Linked DNA regions of Oryctolagus cuniculus. The protein of the gene in region 3 interacts with the protein of the main gene of each other region in a biochemical or structural test. Links are inferred from orthologs where the notes say so. Each region holds a gene or a part of one and is shown on either strand. Other genes may lie near its edges.

Region 1 (4,053 bases), on a different chromosome or scaffold from region 3:
GCCGCTGCAGCCGGTGCACCGCGCTGATCCGATGGCAGGAGCCAGGAGCCAGGTGCTTTTCCTGGTCTCCCATGGGGTGCAGGGCTCAAGCACCTGGGCCATCCTCCACTGCACTCCCTGGCCATAGCAGAGAGCTGGCCTGGAAGAGGGGCAACCGGGACAGAATCCGGCGCCCCAACCAGGACTAGAACCCGGTGTGCCGGCGCCGCAAGGTGGAGGATTAGCCTATTGAGCCACGGCGCCGGCTCAAAATGTTTGATTTTTTAAAACATCTATTAGAATATTAGTTTATTTTACATAACCAACATTCCTTAAAATTTAACGTGTTTTTTTTTTCTTTTTTTTACTGCTAGCTTGAATGAAATTATGTGTGTAGCCCAGGCAGAAAACAGTGTGCATACATGTATCTCTTCTAATTGGCTGGTATTATACTTGGGTGTCATCAAATAGCTAGGAAAGCATGCTAGTTTCACTAGTTCAGGCACCAAAACTGAGTCCTAGGTGACTGATATTTTTGTGTGCAGTTTCTTTTTTTGTTTTTTACTAAGTGCTTAATTTTATTTATTTAAAAGGTAGAGAGAGACAGAGAGAGAGAGCGAGAGCAAGCTCATGTGCTGGTTCATTCTCCAAATGCCCACAACAGCAGGGCTTTGGACCAGGCAAAGACAGGAGCCAGGAATTCAATCTGGGTCTCCCATGAGGGTGGCAGATATCCCGCTATTTGAGCCATCACCTGCTGCCTCCCAGGGTGCACCACAGCAGAAAGCTGGCATCAGGAGCCAAGCCAGCACCTGAAGCCAGGCACTCCCACGCTGGATGCAGGTGTGCAGAGGACCCCGTGTTCTGACCACCGGAAGTACTCCCTAGACATGTTTCCAGCACCAGCACGGGAACGCCATCTGCAACCCTGTACCTCAACGCTCTTTCAACGGAAGCAGCCCGCTGTGGGGGCCACCTTCAAGGACACAAGTGACGCTCCTGGCTTGTGAGCTGACACTTGTTTCTGTCACATTCACGCTCGTTGGGCACGAGTTCTTACACTGCAGACAAAATTACCTGAGACTCACTCCCGGGGCAGTCACCTGACGTGGCCATAGTTCCCTCGGGCTCTGCCTCATACCTGCTGCCTTTATTATTTCATTTTCTCCTCCTCGTTTCTACTGAGAGAGAGAGGGAGGGGGAGAGGGGGAGAGGGCTGTTACACCGCTTGACAATCAAATCCATTTAACTTCTGAGGCACACTAGAAAGGTCCCCGACCCAAGTGAAACCAACCTACGCGTGCGCCGCGGTGTGGAGATGAAACTCACCCTCAGTTCTACAAGGCCCATCGAAAGCACCACAAGCGGCACAGGCACACGCGCGTCCCGGGCTGGCCCGGGCGCTCCTGGGGTCGCCCTGGGACGGAGCCCCCCGCCTCTCCTCAGCTCCCCCGCGCCTGCCAGCGCCACACTCCTATAGAACGCACGCCTCGCCTACAAACAGGCCTGACCCTACTCTCGTGATTCCTGGAACCGTAACTACTAACTCCGCTGGAAACCTGGGCCCACCTACGACGGCGCGAGGGTGCGGCCCGGATCTGACGCCGGGGCCGAGGCAGCTCTGGGAGAGACCTGACGGGAGGGAGGGAGGGAGCCCCGGGAGCGGCGCGGCCGGCCCGGGCCGAGGGGGCGTGGCGCCGCGAGGGGCGTGCCTGCGGGGAGGGGCGTGCGCCGGGAGGGGCGTGCGCCGGGAGGGGCGTGCCTGCGGGGAGGGGCGTGGCTAGGGCGGAGCTCTGGGAGAGACCTGACGGGAGGGAGGGAGGGAGCCCCGGGAGCGGCGCGGCTGGCCCGGGCCGAGGGGGCGTGGCGCCGCGAGGGGCGTGCCTGAGGGAGGGGCGTGGCTAGGGCGGAGCTCTGGGAGAGACCTGATGGGAGGGAGGGAGGGAGCCCCGGGAGCGGCGCGGCCGGCCCGGGCCGAGGGGGCGTGGCGCCGCGAGGGGCGTGCCTGAGGGAGGGGCGTGCCTGAGGGAGGGGCGTGGCTAGGGCGGAGCTCTGGGAGAGACCTGACGGGAGGGAGGGAGGGAGACCCGGGAGCGGCGCGGCCGGCCCGGGCCGAGGGGGCGTGCGCCGGGAGGGGCGTGCCTGCGGGAGGGGCGTGCGCCATGAGGGGCGTGCCTGCGGGGAGGGGCGTGCGCCGGGAGGGGCGTGCCTGCGGGGAGGGACGTGGCTAGGGCGGAGCTCTGGAAGAGACCTGACGGGAGGGAGGGAGGGAGACCCGGGAGCGGCGCGGCTGGCCCGGGCCGAGGGGGCGTGGCGCCGCGAGGGGCGTAGCTCGGCCAGGGTGGGGCCCCGAAGAGGGGCGGGGCCGCTGGTAGGCGTGGCGCAGGAGAGGGGCGGGGCCCCGGAGAGGGGCGGGGCCTCCGGTGGGCGTGGTGCCGCGTAGGGAAAAGGCGGGGCGTCGGAGAGGGGCGGGGCAACGGGGTGGGGCAGGCGCGGAGCTCGCGGACAGCCGCTACAGCGCAGAGCCGAGGAACCGGGAGGGCGCTCGGGGGTCCCAGGAGGAGACGGAGGCTTCAGTCGGCCAGCGACGCACACGGGGGGCGAGGACCCCCTCACCCTACAAGTCCTGCCTCAAGTGCAGCCCAGCCTCCTACGCTGGGTCCACCAGGACACCTACCTCAGTCGCTTCTCCCCGCCGAGTTGCACATCCACGCCACCAGCACGTAGGGGCTGACGGTTCCCCACCGGGAGCCAGAGCCACCGCCCTCGGCCTGCGCAGGCGCAGTGCGCACGAGCCGCGCCCAGGGGAGGCCCCGCCCCGAGGCGGGGCCATCCTACCGCGCAGGCGCACTCCACAGGCTACGCCTTCTGCGGGGTAGAGCCGAGTTGCGTCGTCAGCCCGTGTGAGGAACCGGCTCCCGTGCCCACAGCCGGCCGGGGCGGGAGTCGGACGCCGGGAACGGGCGCGGGTACGTAGACGGGGGCGGAGGGCTGGGGGTCGGACGCGGTGCGCGGCAGCTGTGGGCAGCGTGTTGCTGGCCCAAGACCCCGATTGGGGTTTTCTTGTGGTAATTCAGGGACCTTCCGTTGTCCGTGTGGACCGGGTCTGGACGCCGGGAGCGCCGCGGTCAAGTAGGGTTTCCCCCGCCAGAAGCCCGGGGTTACCGGAAGGCGGACTGCCGTCCCTGCCCCAGCTGGGAGAGCGGCCCCAGAGCTGTGTGGTCGCACAGGGTGAGACGAATGTATAAAAAACATTCAACTTGAAGGTCTGATTGGGTTTTGTGTGCAATTCTAGATTCAGTCAACACCCTGTTCTAAATGAGCGTTCTAGTGAGCTGAGCAGATGTTAGTTTAATAGACAGAGGGCTGAGGAGAGCAGAAACAGACAAAAGAGGAATTTCCAAGTTACTTTCCTGCCACATCTGGCCTGTCTGGGAATGTGGCCTCTCCCTCCCTGCCTCTGTGCTCTCAGAAGTCAGATAAACATTCTGCTTTCAGCTTGGTGACTTGGACTTGGGGCATCAGTGAGTCCATAATGGTTTGGTCTTTTGGGTCTAGTGCAGGGCAGCCTCCCATAATCTACACAACAACCTAAAATACCAGCCCCTCCCAGCGCACCTGCTGAGGCAGACGCACACCTAATGGTCTGCATCAGCAGCACACAGGCACGGCCCTGGCAGGGGGTCCACAGGGGCTTCTGATGCTTGTGGGCTGGCATGATGGATTGGAAATGAGAAGAGCAAACAGGCAGGTCTTGACCTGCGTGGTAGAGTGAAATCGCACCAGCCTTCTCCCTCAGGAGGCTCGTGCTAAGCCAAAACCTGTCAGTCAGGGCGAGAAAAGCAGTTCTCAATGAGAAGTCCAGGAGTGAAGTCCAGGCTTGGGGTGGGCATTGTGCCCCAGCCAGTTACGCCACCTCCTGCAATGCAGACATCGCATATGAGTGCAGTGCTCTTTTGAGTGCTAGCTGCTCAACCTGCGATCCAGTTCCCTGCTAATGCACTAGAAAAGCAGCAAAAGCTGGCCCAAGTGATTGGGCTCCTGCCAACCACGTGAGACACCCAGATGGAATTC
Region 2 (4,240 bases), on a different chromosome or scaffold from region 3:
CTTGCTGGAATCTGACTTGCACCAACTGATTCTTCATTACTCCTGAAACATCTACTCATCTGACAAACACAGACTACTCCCTCCCAAGGCCAGGCTCGGAGTTCCCTCTGGGAGCTGCCACTCAGCACATGGTCCCTACTCAGCACTTAATAGCTCTCCTAAAGACAATTTTAAAATACAAAATTATACCTGCATCTTTAAAAAAAAAATGTTAAAACAAGAACTTAAGAAAATGGTTAAGGGGGTGATATGACCTTAGAGTTTACATACATATAAAGTCTAAGCCTTAAAAAGTTCTAAGTTATATTCCTAGTGTCAGAATACCTTGACAATGCCTTGAGAGGCAAACTAAAAATATCCTGAAACACTGCCCTTATCTTTAAAGAAAGCTACTCCAGCAAGTTGAAGTAAGTTGTATCCATTTCCAAGGACGTGAAAGAATGGCTAAGTACACACAGTACTCTGAATGTCAAAAAAAAAATTTAATTGCAAATGCTTTTTAATAGCTTAAATAGAATTGATAGATGAGCAAATCAGTCAAGTACTTAAATTCCAATACTAAGTGAAATTGGATTTGACAATCTTCATTTTGTGACTGAGAACACAAGATACAAGGAGCCTACAGCAAGAAGGCACTTTACTTTTACGAACCACTTGGCAAAACTGCACGTAATGCCTACTAATGAGGTTATAAGTGATACTTTTACTCTTAAACACTGTTAGGAAAAATAAAGTCCTGACTCCTTCTCCAAGGAACCTCAATAAGATGTGAGGAAGCTGACCTTTCTGACACATTAACCACAGAACCGACAGGGTATGTGAGCCAGTCGCTGTAACGCTCGCGCGGGGAAGACCACTCCGTGTTACGCCGTACAGTCACGCTAAGGGGCCAGGCGAGGCGAGAAAGGGGTCTGATTCAAGCAGCGAGTCTTTTCACATCCAAAACCGTGAGAAACTGTCGGCTTTCGGGGGCCCGCGCCGAGCGCGTCCTCCCGCGGCCTTCAAGGCGGGGAAGGGATGCGCCAGCCACCCCCCACCCGAGTCTTTGCCAGCCTCGCTCAGGATGTCCTGCCGTGGCCCGGACGCGCACCTCCTCTGCGACTTCCCCGGCCGCAAGGGTCACAAAACCCCCTGCGTCGGCCCTCACCGGCGCACCAGCGCTTCATAACACTGAGGTGGCGAGGCCAAGAAAAGGCGCGCGGGCGCGCACACACACACCCACCCTGGCCTGCCTCCGTGTTTCTAATTATTAGCCTCACACCGTGGCCAAGCCCATGTTTGGGGCGCTTCCCTGCGTGGACCGGGGCCGGCCCGCCGCGCTGGCCCTTTAAAGGCGCTCGCTTCCTGCGCCCGCGGCCCCTCCCCAGCCGCCGCCGGCGCCCGCCCCCGCCGAGGGTCACACTTGAACTTAGCTCGCCCCGCGCGGCCGGGCGCCGGCGCTCCGCAGGCGGTGGCCGCCCCTTCGCACGTGTCGGAGGCGCTCCCTCGGGCTCGGCGCGCCTGGACCCCAGCACCCGAGGCCACCCGGGATAAAACCAAAACAAAGCCAAAAGCGCATCGGCCTCCAGAAGTGGCGCGGCCGACCCCGCACCGTCCCAAGGCTGTCCCCTCCACCTGCAGCCGTGCCCCCCGGGTTTGGGTGCCCCCCTCGCCGCCCCCTCCACCGCTCGGCGCGGCGGAAACGGCCCCGCGCTGCGAGGGCGGAGAGGAGCCGCCCTCCCCGCCGGAGGTCCGGGAGGCAAAAGGGGCAGCCGCTCCGCGTGAAACCTTCTCTCTCTGACTGGCAAACTTTCCTGCCCGCTCTGACGCCCAGTTCCTGACGCACTTTCTTCACGCCTCAGTTCCCCCCCAACACGCCCCTGTGCCTGTCCCACCGCAACTCTGCGGCGCGCGCGCGCCTCCCCTCCGCCCGGGCAAGCCCCCGCACCTGCCACTTCCCACCCGCCCTCGGCCGCCCGCGCGACCCGCCCAGCCACCCCCGCACCTGCCCCACCGCGCCCCGGTCCGGCCGCTCACCTTCCAGCCCGCCGAGCTGTTGCTATCGCCCTTATCCTTGAAGTAGGGCACGCTCTTGACCATCCACTCGTAGATCTGAGACAGCGTGAGCCGCTTCTCGGCCGAGCTCTCGATGGCCTTGGTGATGAGGTCGGCGTAGGACAGGTTGCCCCACGCGTTGCGGCGGGACGAGCTGCTCTTGCGCGGCTGCCCAGCGAGCGGCCCAGCAGCCGCGGGGGGTACAGGCGGGTGCTGTGACAGTGGCCCGGGCGCCGGGGGCTGCGGCGGCGCCGGGTGCAGGCAGCCCGCCGCCTCTGCGCCCTGGAAGTCCCCGCACAGTCCCCCGGTGGCAGCCGCCGCGGCCGCCGCCACCGCCGCCGCCGCCGCTGCGGCCGCCGCCACGGAGCCGGGCGCCTGCGGGAAGTCCTCGCTCTCCTCCAGCAGGCTCAGGTTGCTCATGAAGTCGGCGTTGACAGCGGCCGCCGAGGCTGGGGGCAGGCCCGCCGCGGCGTCGGGGTTGGCGGCCGCGCCGCCCGACGGCGCCGGGCTGGAGGTGGCCGAGTTGGACTGGCTAAACTCCGGCCTGGGCAGCGGCCAGGTGCACGAGCGCGGCCGGGGCAGCGGCTCGAAGTCCGGGTCGATCTCCACCACCTGAGGCGCTTCGGCCATGGTGACCCCCGCCCCTCCCCCAGCCGCCGGAGAGCCGAGAAGGGGGGGAGCGCAGCGCGGAGCGGAGGGGGCGCAAAGGCTGGCCCGAGATCCTGGGGGGATGGGGGGAGGACGAAGTCAGTGCCGCGAGCTGACGGAAACCGGGAGGAAGGAGCAGCGGAGTAGCCGCGCGAGCCCAGAACTTAACTTCGTGGGTCCATCAACATCCAAGGCTGCTCCGGGTTCGCTGCACCACCAGGACGGCTGGCCAGAGCCGGGCAGCTCCAGGGCCGCGCTCCTGCTGACAGGGCCACGGACGGACGGACGGACGGACGGACACCGCGGGCCGCTCGCTCTCGCCGGCGGCGCGAGCGCGGCGCAGCTGCCTGTTGAATGCGCTGGAGGCGGCGGCGGCGGCGGCGGCGGCAGCAGCAACTACGCGGCTGCCCGACTTACGGGATCTGCCACCGCCCCCCGCCCGCGGCGGCGCGCGCGCCGGCCCGCCCCCGATTGACAGCCCGCGCAGCCAATGGGCGCGCGGCACCGCCGCCCAAGCAGCCAGTGGGAGAGGGCTGGGGAGGGGCCCGGTTTTCCACGAGGAGGCGGCTGTGGGTTGGTAGGGGGGTAGTGGGGTGTTTTTCTCGTTGGCGCACACGCACGTTCTCTCTCTTTTTGTGATTATTTTCTGGTAATTCTCGAGTATTTCTGCGAGTCTCTCGCCCTCTTACTGTTTTGACTGCTGAGAGGCAAACCAACGTGGAGGCGGCGGCGACACTTTGTTTACTACGGGGGAGCCGAGCCGTGGACTGGCGAAGCCCGAGCGGAACGAGCGGCTGCCGTGGCCCCGACCTCCGCTCGGCGCCCAGACCAGGGCAGGGCAGGGCAGGGCGCGGGGCGGGGCGGGGTGGAGGCGGCCGCGCGGAATTCCACTCGGTCGCCCCCTCTCCGCTCCACCCACGCGGTCCGCGCGGCGCGGTGCGGGGAAGTCGGCAGGGTTTGTTTTCGTGCAGCGTTTTCTTTCGCTGCGCTCGGTCAAGTCCTCCTGCCCCCGCTCGGGCCGCACACGCCTCCCCGTCCCCACCCCGGGAGACCGTGGGCCTTGTGGTCGGGTCCCTGCCGGCACGGGACGCCAGCCGCGCCGCCCCCGCGCCGGAACCCACCTGCGCGCGCCGCCCCCGGGGCTGGTCGTCCGGCCCGAATTCTGCCATTGTTGACCTAAAAGGGCAGAAATGAGGGAAAGGGCTGGGCAAGCACAGGGTCCCTGGGTCTCCTATCCTCTGGGACACTCTGCCCTAGCGCGCCAGCCTTGCACTGTCCACCGGGCCAGCGGTGGCCGCGGCGAAGGGTCGGCAGAGCAAGTTCGCGAGCACTTTGTCCATTTATTCCTTGCCCGTAATTAAGTGTAACAGTTGGCTTACTTCCTTTTTTATTTAGAAGTGATGAAGTGTTGAGTAAAAACGCGAGAGGGGCTGAGACCGAAGCCTTGACCACAGCGCTGCCCCACCCCCAGGTTGTGGGGCTGCCCGCTGCGTCCATCAGTCACTCCCACCCCACCTCCCCACCTTGCTCCATCTGGGCTCCAGGTCCGGGACGTCCT
Region 3 (3,500 bases):
TGAGCCTCAGTTAAATGAGTTAACATTTACTCACTAGATTCACTATGTGTAAGATAATAATAAATTAAGATTTCATAACTTGATTGCTTAATACTAAATCTCCAACCACAGATTATAAAATGCCAATACACATAGATTTCAAAGCAAACTGAAAAGAGAAAAGCCTTCTCTACAACTAAATATCAAGGAGTAAATATACAACACAGGCTACTTAAAAATCCTTCTCGGAGCTGGCTGAGTAAATTTTATGTTTCTTGTTGCCTCTGTGGTTTATAAATCACAAAAGGAAAAAAATAAGTTCTTACTTCTGTCTTTGTTCAGATCTTACACATGTACTTTACAGAGGAGCTTGTCTATCATAATGTGATGGTATTATGAATGATTATGTTTTATGATTGTATTATGCTCTCCATATCTAAATTCTTAGGAAAGAGAAATATCAAGTAAAGACATAACTTGCAAACATCAAGAGAAAGGAAAATTCAACTTATAATCATGTTTACAATTCTGACAATATTGTTAGTAAAAAACATGGTCTATGACTACTATACTGGTTGCTCAAAAGTGTTAATTAAATTTTGTCATTTAAAATTAAATTAATTCAAAACTTCAGTTCAATTCACAGTCATCCTAAGAATTATCCCAATATCCTCTGCAGGTTTTTGTGTCATTTAGCTAATCACAGGGACTTTTAGAACTGGCTTCCTTGTTATTCTTCTTGCCAATGATATATTTCATTCCCTCCTCTACAAGTTGCTATTATAATTATCAAATGATTACCACAAAAATATAATATTGTCTATATTAGATTTTATTGAAAGCTATTTGTTTAAATAACAGAGGGTATTTGGATCTATGTGGCTTTGTCAAATGTTCTGAAGACATTCTTCTTCATAGTCCTTGCAGAAAACATTTTTCTTTCCTCATTTTTCATCTTTTTTAAATCAATGGCAAGTTTTAATTTGCTTGGTCAGGAAAGAAGTCTTTTGATGTTCAACAGCTGTATTTCAGTGGCACACACACATACACACACACACATACAAACATGTATATATATATAACTGAATTTTCATCTTTATAGTTATCCAAATCAACAAATAACAAGATGTAATTTGGTCCAAGGATTTTTGAATCATCCAGGTCTTTTAAATGAACGCCATGATGTTCTATAGAATTTATTTCCATAAATTTGTCTAGTTCTGGGCTTATCAGTAGGATGGTTATGCCTGGTTATTATTTCTTCCTTCCCTGATTTATGTCTCCACTTTTATTCCTGAATTCAGAAGATAATTGTCATGAATTCTTTCATCCACTAGTAATGTATTTTAACTTACTTTGAGTTACTTCAAATGCTCTTCAAAGTTTTATAATTATAATAATAGCAGGATGGGAATCTACTGATAAGTATGAAAAATGTAATCTTGTATTCAGCAGGCCAAGATTTCATGAGGGAAAAATATATGCTAACAGGACAATAAAACTTAACAGTAACCACACTTGGCTGTCAGGGATGTGGCCATTAGTTTTTTTCTTTGCTTGTTTCTCTTCTCCCAAAGGATAAAAACAAGAGCATAGCAAATATAAAGGAAAAAAATCTATAGCCATATTAAGTTTAGATCCCAATATGTGCATTTAATGTATCTGCTTCGTTAAGAATGCTAGAACATGTAGGTGAACGAGGAAACTCTTAAGCCAAAAAATGACCAGGAGTTTTTGTTTGCCAGTTGGACTGACTTTGAAAACCCAAATTTGCCCATTATTACCCATGCTTTCAAGCAACCCAATATCCACCACTCCATTCACATATGCAGATGCCTTCCAACAAGTGGATCTCAGACCTGGTCTCCCACCCCACCCCCATTTAAAGGGCTGCATGCTTATATCTTGGTTTATAAAAAACACAGGTGAGAATCTCTGAGGCCAGACATATATTCACTTGGTCTATCTCATATCAGTGACTCTTGAAGTACAAACACCATACTCTATATCTTTCGGTTCACTTAAAATATCCATTAATTAAAGGCAATAGTTTCACTCATGAAAATGAATCAAATGAGCAAATCTCTATATAAATCCATCTCTCACTTGCCCCGTGAGTCCAGAAAAGAGATTTAACTTCCTCCCACTTGGTTTTATCCTTATTAATTCCTGAATGGGTATACTGGGCTGTGGAGAAGGTCATTTCCTAGTCTTGTTTCCATAATAACTAGAGTTATTCTCTCCGATCAACAAGAACAGCAGTCAAGTTTTACAGAAACACCACTTCTGAGAAAAATCAATGTGAGGACAAAAGCATCACTTGAACCATTGTGTCTTTGTACCAGCTCTTCTCTAGGATAAAACTCTAATTGATTTTTCTATTTTAGTTCCCTTTCTCCTAAAATACTAAGTAAAAACCATGTTAGATAAATAATTGGCACAGTTCATAAACCTATCATTATTGCCTTAGTCCACAGAAAAGATTTTAAAGGTAAAATGCTTATTAGTAATTGAAGTATTTTGGAAAAATAGTTCTCAATATTTAAAAAATGTTGTGGCTCATTTAATGTTAAACTCTTCTGAAAAACTGTGAACATATGATAGTGAATGTATTTATCATGTAGGGTCCACCTTAAATCTTTTTGGCAAATACTCTGGGTTGAAAATACTTAAATTATGTCAAAGTAATGCTTTTTAACTGTCTATATTTTGATTATAAAAGATTGTTTTCTGATTTCTAAGAGAATCACAGTGCACTGATATTAAATATTAAGAAATTATGATGCAGCCTTGAAATCAATGGAATAGTAAGGAATTACTTCCTTGTCTCCTACAGTTTCTCCCATGCCATCACAACCAATCCTTGAAAAGCTGTTGAATCAAAATAAAAATGAACTTAGTCTTCTTACCTGGAACCCTCTTTGCCCAGTTGATCATGTGAACTAGCTCTCTGTCTGCCAAGTTGGTCAGTAGGCCCATCATCGAGGCCTCACTGAAGGGTCTGGTAGGGTCGTACTCAGAATAGATGATGGGGGGCTCAGCTTCCAACAAGGCACTGACCATCTGATCGGCCGTCAGAGACAAGGCTGGGCTATTCTTCTTAGTGTGCTTGATCAACAGAGGGCTTGGCCAGAGGTTGGCAGCCCTCATGTCTCCAGGGGGCCCTGTTTCATTCCTGCCTTCCCCATCATCTCTCTGGCGCTTGTGTTTCAACATTCTCCCTCCTCTTCGGTCTTTCCGTATACCTGAAAACATGAATGAAAATATTAGTTTCGCTTTTTTTCCACAGAAACTTTTATACAAAAACCAACTTCAAAGATAATATCTTTTTATTTCACTTAAATAAATGCTTAAGGTTTAACAACTGGCTCTCCAAAAGAAAAAAAAAAGGAGTTTGGATTTGTAGCTTTTGCCAGTCTCCATGGTGTAAATATTATCACCATAACAAACTTCAGGACACTTCTCTGGAGTCAGGTAGCGTAGAAAACTCCTGAAATTTAGTAGCAGGTTTGGTGAACCAT
Region 4 (4,109 bases), on a different chromosome or scaffold from region 3:
CGCCTTAGTCTCATCAGCCGGCCCACAGGGGAGAGGAGTGGAGCTCTCTGGCAGAAGGATATCATCTTGGCGGCCTCAGCCTCGCCCTCGGCCTGCACAATCTTCTGGCGCTGTTCCTGTTTTGCTTTTTCCACCAAGAACTGGGCCCGCTGGGCCTCTTGCTGGGCTACAGGGTGGGAGAGGCGGAGGGAACAGTCAACAGATGTGAAGGTCAGGGGCCTGATCCAGAGTCCGTTCTTCCACATTCTCAGACGCCCGCGCCCTCCTCCCCTTGCAACTCACCCACTTGCTTGGCTTCCACGGCAGCTGTGTACTCTCGGCTGAAGCTCAGCTCCGTGATGGCCACATCATCCAGGATGAGGCTGAAGTCCTTGGCCCGCTCCGTCAGCTCCCGCCGGATCAACAGGGACACCTGGGGGCAGGGGTGAGGAGGGGAGGGCAGGGCCGGTTTGTGGGAATTGGAGAACTGAAAGGAAGGTTGTGTTGCTATGACCACCTGAACACAGATCACGTAAGTGTGGCCATCAGCTCACCCAGCCTCTCTTGGTTCCTCAACAGAACATCTTCGCATTTGATGGGGTGGGGAGTTGGGGGGGGGGAGGGAGGCACAGCCTCGGAGGTGGGACAGCCACCCCAGGCTAGCAGGTCCTCCAACTGTCTCCGCTACTTAGCTTCCTGTCGGGCCGACCCGTGACACAAGCCCCTGTGCCGAAAGAGGCACCGGAGAAGCCTAGGTTTTCCCTTCGCTCCCTCCCCAAGTGCCCTCGAGCTCTGGTGCTGGTTTTTCTCATTTCTCGCGTGGCCATCAGTTCAGCTTTTAGTGGAAGTGGAACGGCAGCTATGGCCCTTTTCTAAGAAGCTGCCTTTTCAGGACATTTAGTTCTCTGGGTCTAGCAGGGCAATGACACCGCGCAGACGGTGAGGGGGGCCGACCTGGGCTCGCTGCGTGATCAGCTGCGAGGCATTGAATTTGGCCACCACGCTCTTGAGCACCTCGTTGACGATGGACGGCAACACTCGCTCCTCGTAGTCCAGCCCGAGGCGCTGGTACATGCTGGGCAGCTCCTGGGCATTGGGTCGAGACAGCACTCGCAGGGAGATGTTCACCATCTGCAGGTCTGAGAGTGAGGTCAGCAGTGGATGGCCAAGGACGAGTGTCCTTCCCTGAGCCCTTTCTCTTCCTAGGCCCAGAACAATGACACGCAGCCTGCTGCCCCCCTTGGGGAAGGGGTGCAATCAGGCCAACAGGGAACACAGACACAGCATGTGTGCCCACACACGAGGGCATCTGGGGAGCCAAAGGCAGCGCCGACTCCTCTTCTGCCATTGTATTCATGCACCCTCTAATGCAGGCCCTGTCATCTGGCTCTTCTACTAGACAGTGAAATCCTTTACTCCCAGGATTTATCCAATGAAGAATGGACCTGTGCTAAAATCAGTACAGGGCACATTACAGGCTACAGGTATGCTACTCGCCTAAGTGTGTACACATCTGTGTGTGTGTAGGTGGGATGAAAAGGCGGCCAAGCAATCTCAAAGGAAAGGCTTCTAGGAAGAGGAGCAGGTGCAGGAGTGGGGAGAAATTTCTCCAGGACACAGGGTACTCATGGATGAGCTACTGAGTCAAGCAAGAGAGAAAAAAGGCTTTCAAATAAAGCTTTGATCTTGGGAGTAAGACAAAGGCCTGGCAGCGCTCTCCTGAGTTAGTGGAGGGAGGTGCCAAGAATAAAAATATGCAAACACACTGTATCTGGACCGTGTTGGCCCTGGGAGGCAGGTGGTTCTGTTAGAGCTGTTTCTGCAGAGGTGGAACCCAAGGTCATAGGGACCTCCCCAAGGGTCTCTAGTTGGGCTCCCTTATTCAATTTTTAGGGGGTCCAATCTGCCACGTGACTCTCAAGCACCCAGACCTACCTTTGGAGCCTGTGGGGGAGGAGATTTTCCGAGGCCTGGCCCGAATGTCATAGATAATGGGGTACTGAAACCAGGGGATCCTGGCGGGAAGAGACGGGAACAGGTGTTAGGAGACTGCGGCTTCCCAGCATTGCCTGGCTTCCTCTCGCCACGCGGTCTTTGGCCTGCCCCTCCCCGCAGTGACCACAGACAAGGGGCGAACAACAGGTCATGTGTTGATCCAACTTCGGGCAGCACGCGGCTGAGGCGGGGAAAGCGCAGCGCCGACTCCCATTCCAAGTCCGACCACAGCCAGCGGTGGGTCGGCGACTGGGAGCTTCGGGGTCCTTGTGCTCCACCCTCCATTACCTGAAGTGCAGGCCCTCGGCCAGGATGGTGTCCTGCTGCACGCCCCCGATCCGGTTAAAGAAGATGGCCCTGTGCCCGCCTTCCACTGTGGGGAGAGGAGTGAGGGTCAGGCCAGTGCGCTGCTCGGAGAACGTGCTGGGCTGAGGGCGGGGGGAGTGAGGGGCTCGCGGAACGCGGGAGCTGGCGACGCAGGCCGGGGGTCTGGGGTCCGGCTAGCGGTGGAGGTTGCTCACCGGTGAACACCGACTCGCGGACGCCGTAGGCCACGGCGCCGGCCCCCAGCAGCAGTTTCAGCGCCGTGCCCATGCCCCGAGGCCCGGCGGGCAGCCGTCCTGCTAAGTCCTTCAAGTTTTGGGCCATGTCTGGTCCGGAGGCCGGCGGCACCGGAGGTCAGAGCTGGGGCGGCGGCCCGCCTCGACCCCACTCGTTCAGAGATCACACCCACACACGAGGGTTCGAGGCCGTGCTGCTCCCGGGAGAAAGGGCACCGGAAGTGCGCTCCTCTCTAAACCCGCCCCCTGCGCGCAAGGAGGACCCAAACTTCGCGCACAGACGCGCGCACCCGGAAGTCCCGCCCCCTTCTGGAACCCTGCCCTCCCGGGGAGGCGTCGCTAGCGCGAGACGGCAAAGCGTCGCCATTTTCCAGCGCCCACTTTCAAAATGGCAGGCGGAAGGAAGTTTGCCATTTGGACGAACGCGGGGTCCTCAGTTAAGGACGCCGGCGCAATTTCCGGCCCGGTGGCAAGATGGCTGCCCCCAATGGTGAATTCCAGCCTCGTGAGTGGCGCTCTGGGGAGCGGGAAGAGGACTGGGATGCTGCGGCGCCCAAGCGGCCTCGACTCGGGGCAGGAAGCAAGAGCGGAGGCCGCAGGCTCATTGTGGTGCTGGAAGGGGCCAGTCTGGAGACAGTCAAGGTAGTTTGGGAGACGAAGTGGCGAAGTAGGCGTTTTATATGGGCTTTGGGATGACGCCGAGGGGCTCGAAGTGGACGGAGAACGCATGCTTTTGGATGAAGGGGGCCTAGCTGCTGTCTCTTGGCTTGACATCCCGGGTGGACTATTCATTTTCTTTTCCCTTTTTCGAATCCTGTTCCAGCCCGCGTCTCCTTGCCTCTAGTTGCTGTACCAGGCTCCTGTGTTACAAAATCTTTTAAGGGGAGAAGCGTTTCGTTCATGCGTCAGCCCACCTCTTATTCCTAAGGGCTCTGTGTTGCAGTGCGTTAAGGTGCCCACTGTCACCGCCTCTCGGTAGTACGAGCCAGTACTTGTATGTCTTCATTTTTGCTTCTCATCCGTCTCTTCCCATACAGTAAAACCGTCAGCTTCCTGTTATGAAATGCCATCATTCCCTCTGGTTTTCTTACTCTTTTAGAACTTGTTCAAGGAGTAGGCCAGAAGAAATAGCATTGCTTGAGAAGTCTTACCTGAATTTTAATCTTGGTTCTGTCACTGATGCTAAGTGTGATTTTGAGAAGATAAATTCGTCCTCCGTTTGTAAAATGAGGATAATACGTTAACGTAGAACTGTTATGAAAGTCCTTTAATCTAAGGTGAGATGCTTTTGCATCTGTTCTCTCTTAACCACGGTGACACTTTATTAAGCTTGCAGTCTAGGAAACCTGCTTTTTTTTTCTAATGTACTTCATATTTGCAACCTCATTATAGGTTCTCCTCGTCATCTTCAGTAATTGTCTTTCTTTCCAGTGTATTAACTCTGCATATTAATTTTGGCATTTGTCATGTCAGGTATTGCATATAGCGAATTTGCAAATGTACCAAGCATGTCAGTCTCAGCAGAGCAGACGGGTTGAGAATGTGGACCTGCCCTGGGCTGCCTGGTTTAGATCT

Evidence for each region.
Region 1: the proteins of ESR1 (region 3) and PRMT2 form a complex in vitro, tested with the Homo sapiens proteins (2 studies listed by BioGRID and IntAct). The link is inferred for Oryctolagus cuniculus from reciprocal best matches to the Homo sapiens genes ESR1 and PRMT2.
Region 2: the proteins of ESR1 (region 3) and FOXO1 form a complex in vitro, tested with the Homo sapiens proteins (2 studies listed by BioGRID). The link is inferred for Oryctolagus cuniculus from reciprocal best matches to the Homo sapiens genes ESR1 and FOXO1.
Region 4: the proteins of ESR1 (region 3) and PHB2 form a complex in vitro, tested with the Homo sapiens proteins (3 studies listed by BioGRID). The link is inferred for Oryctolagus cuniculus from reciprocal best matches to the Homo sapiens genes ESR1 and PHB2.

What each region holds. Positions count from the first base shown.
Region 1 is NC_091435.1:202,865-206,917, forward strand, and holds the start of PRMT2 (protein arginine N-methyltransferase 2), read right to left. Parts: upstream 2,801-4,053; 5' UTR 2,657-2,800; intron 1,623-2,656; exon of another isoform or gene 1,309-1,622; intron 1,161-1,308; exon of another isoform or gene 1,158-1,160; 5' UTR 1,096-1,157; coding exon 1,057-1,095; intron 1-1,056. UniProt on the Homo sapiens protein: Arginine methyltransferase that methylates the guanidino nitrogens of arginyl residues in proteins such as STAT3, FBL, histone H4. Acts as a coactivator (with NCOA2) of the androgen receptor (AR)-mediated transactivation.
Region 2 is NC_091440.1:72,837,647-72,841,886, reverse strand, and holds the start of FOXO1 (forkhead box protein O1), read right to left. Parts: upstream 2,801-4,240; 5' UTR 2,665-2,800; coding exon 2,017-2,664; intron 1-2,016. UniProt on the Homo sapiens protein: Transcription factor that is the main target of insulin signaling and regulates metabolic homeostasis in response to oxidative stress.
Region 3 is NC_091436.1:15,939,911-15,943,410, forward strand, and holds part of ESR1 (estrogen receptor), read right to left. Parts: intron 3,225-3,500; coding exon 2,889-3,224; intron 1-2,888.
Region 4 is NC_091440.1:102,571,499-102,575,607, reverse strand, and holds the start of PHB2 (prohibitin-2), read right to left. Parts: upstream 2,801-4,109; 5' UTR 2,623-2,800; coding exon 2,496-2,622; intron 2,348-2,495; coding exon 2,263-2,347; intron 1,995-2,262; coding exon 1,915-1,994; intron 1,119-1,914; coding exon 934-1,118; intron 413-933; coding exon 283-412; intron 167-282; coding exon 63-166; exon of another isoform or gene 27-62; intron 22-26; exon of another isoform or gene 1-21. Other genes in the region: EMG1 (ribosomal RNA small subunit methyltransferase NEP1), read left to right, coding at 3,009-3,176.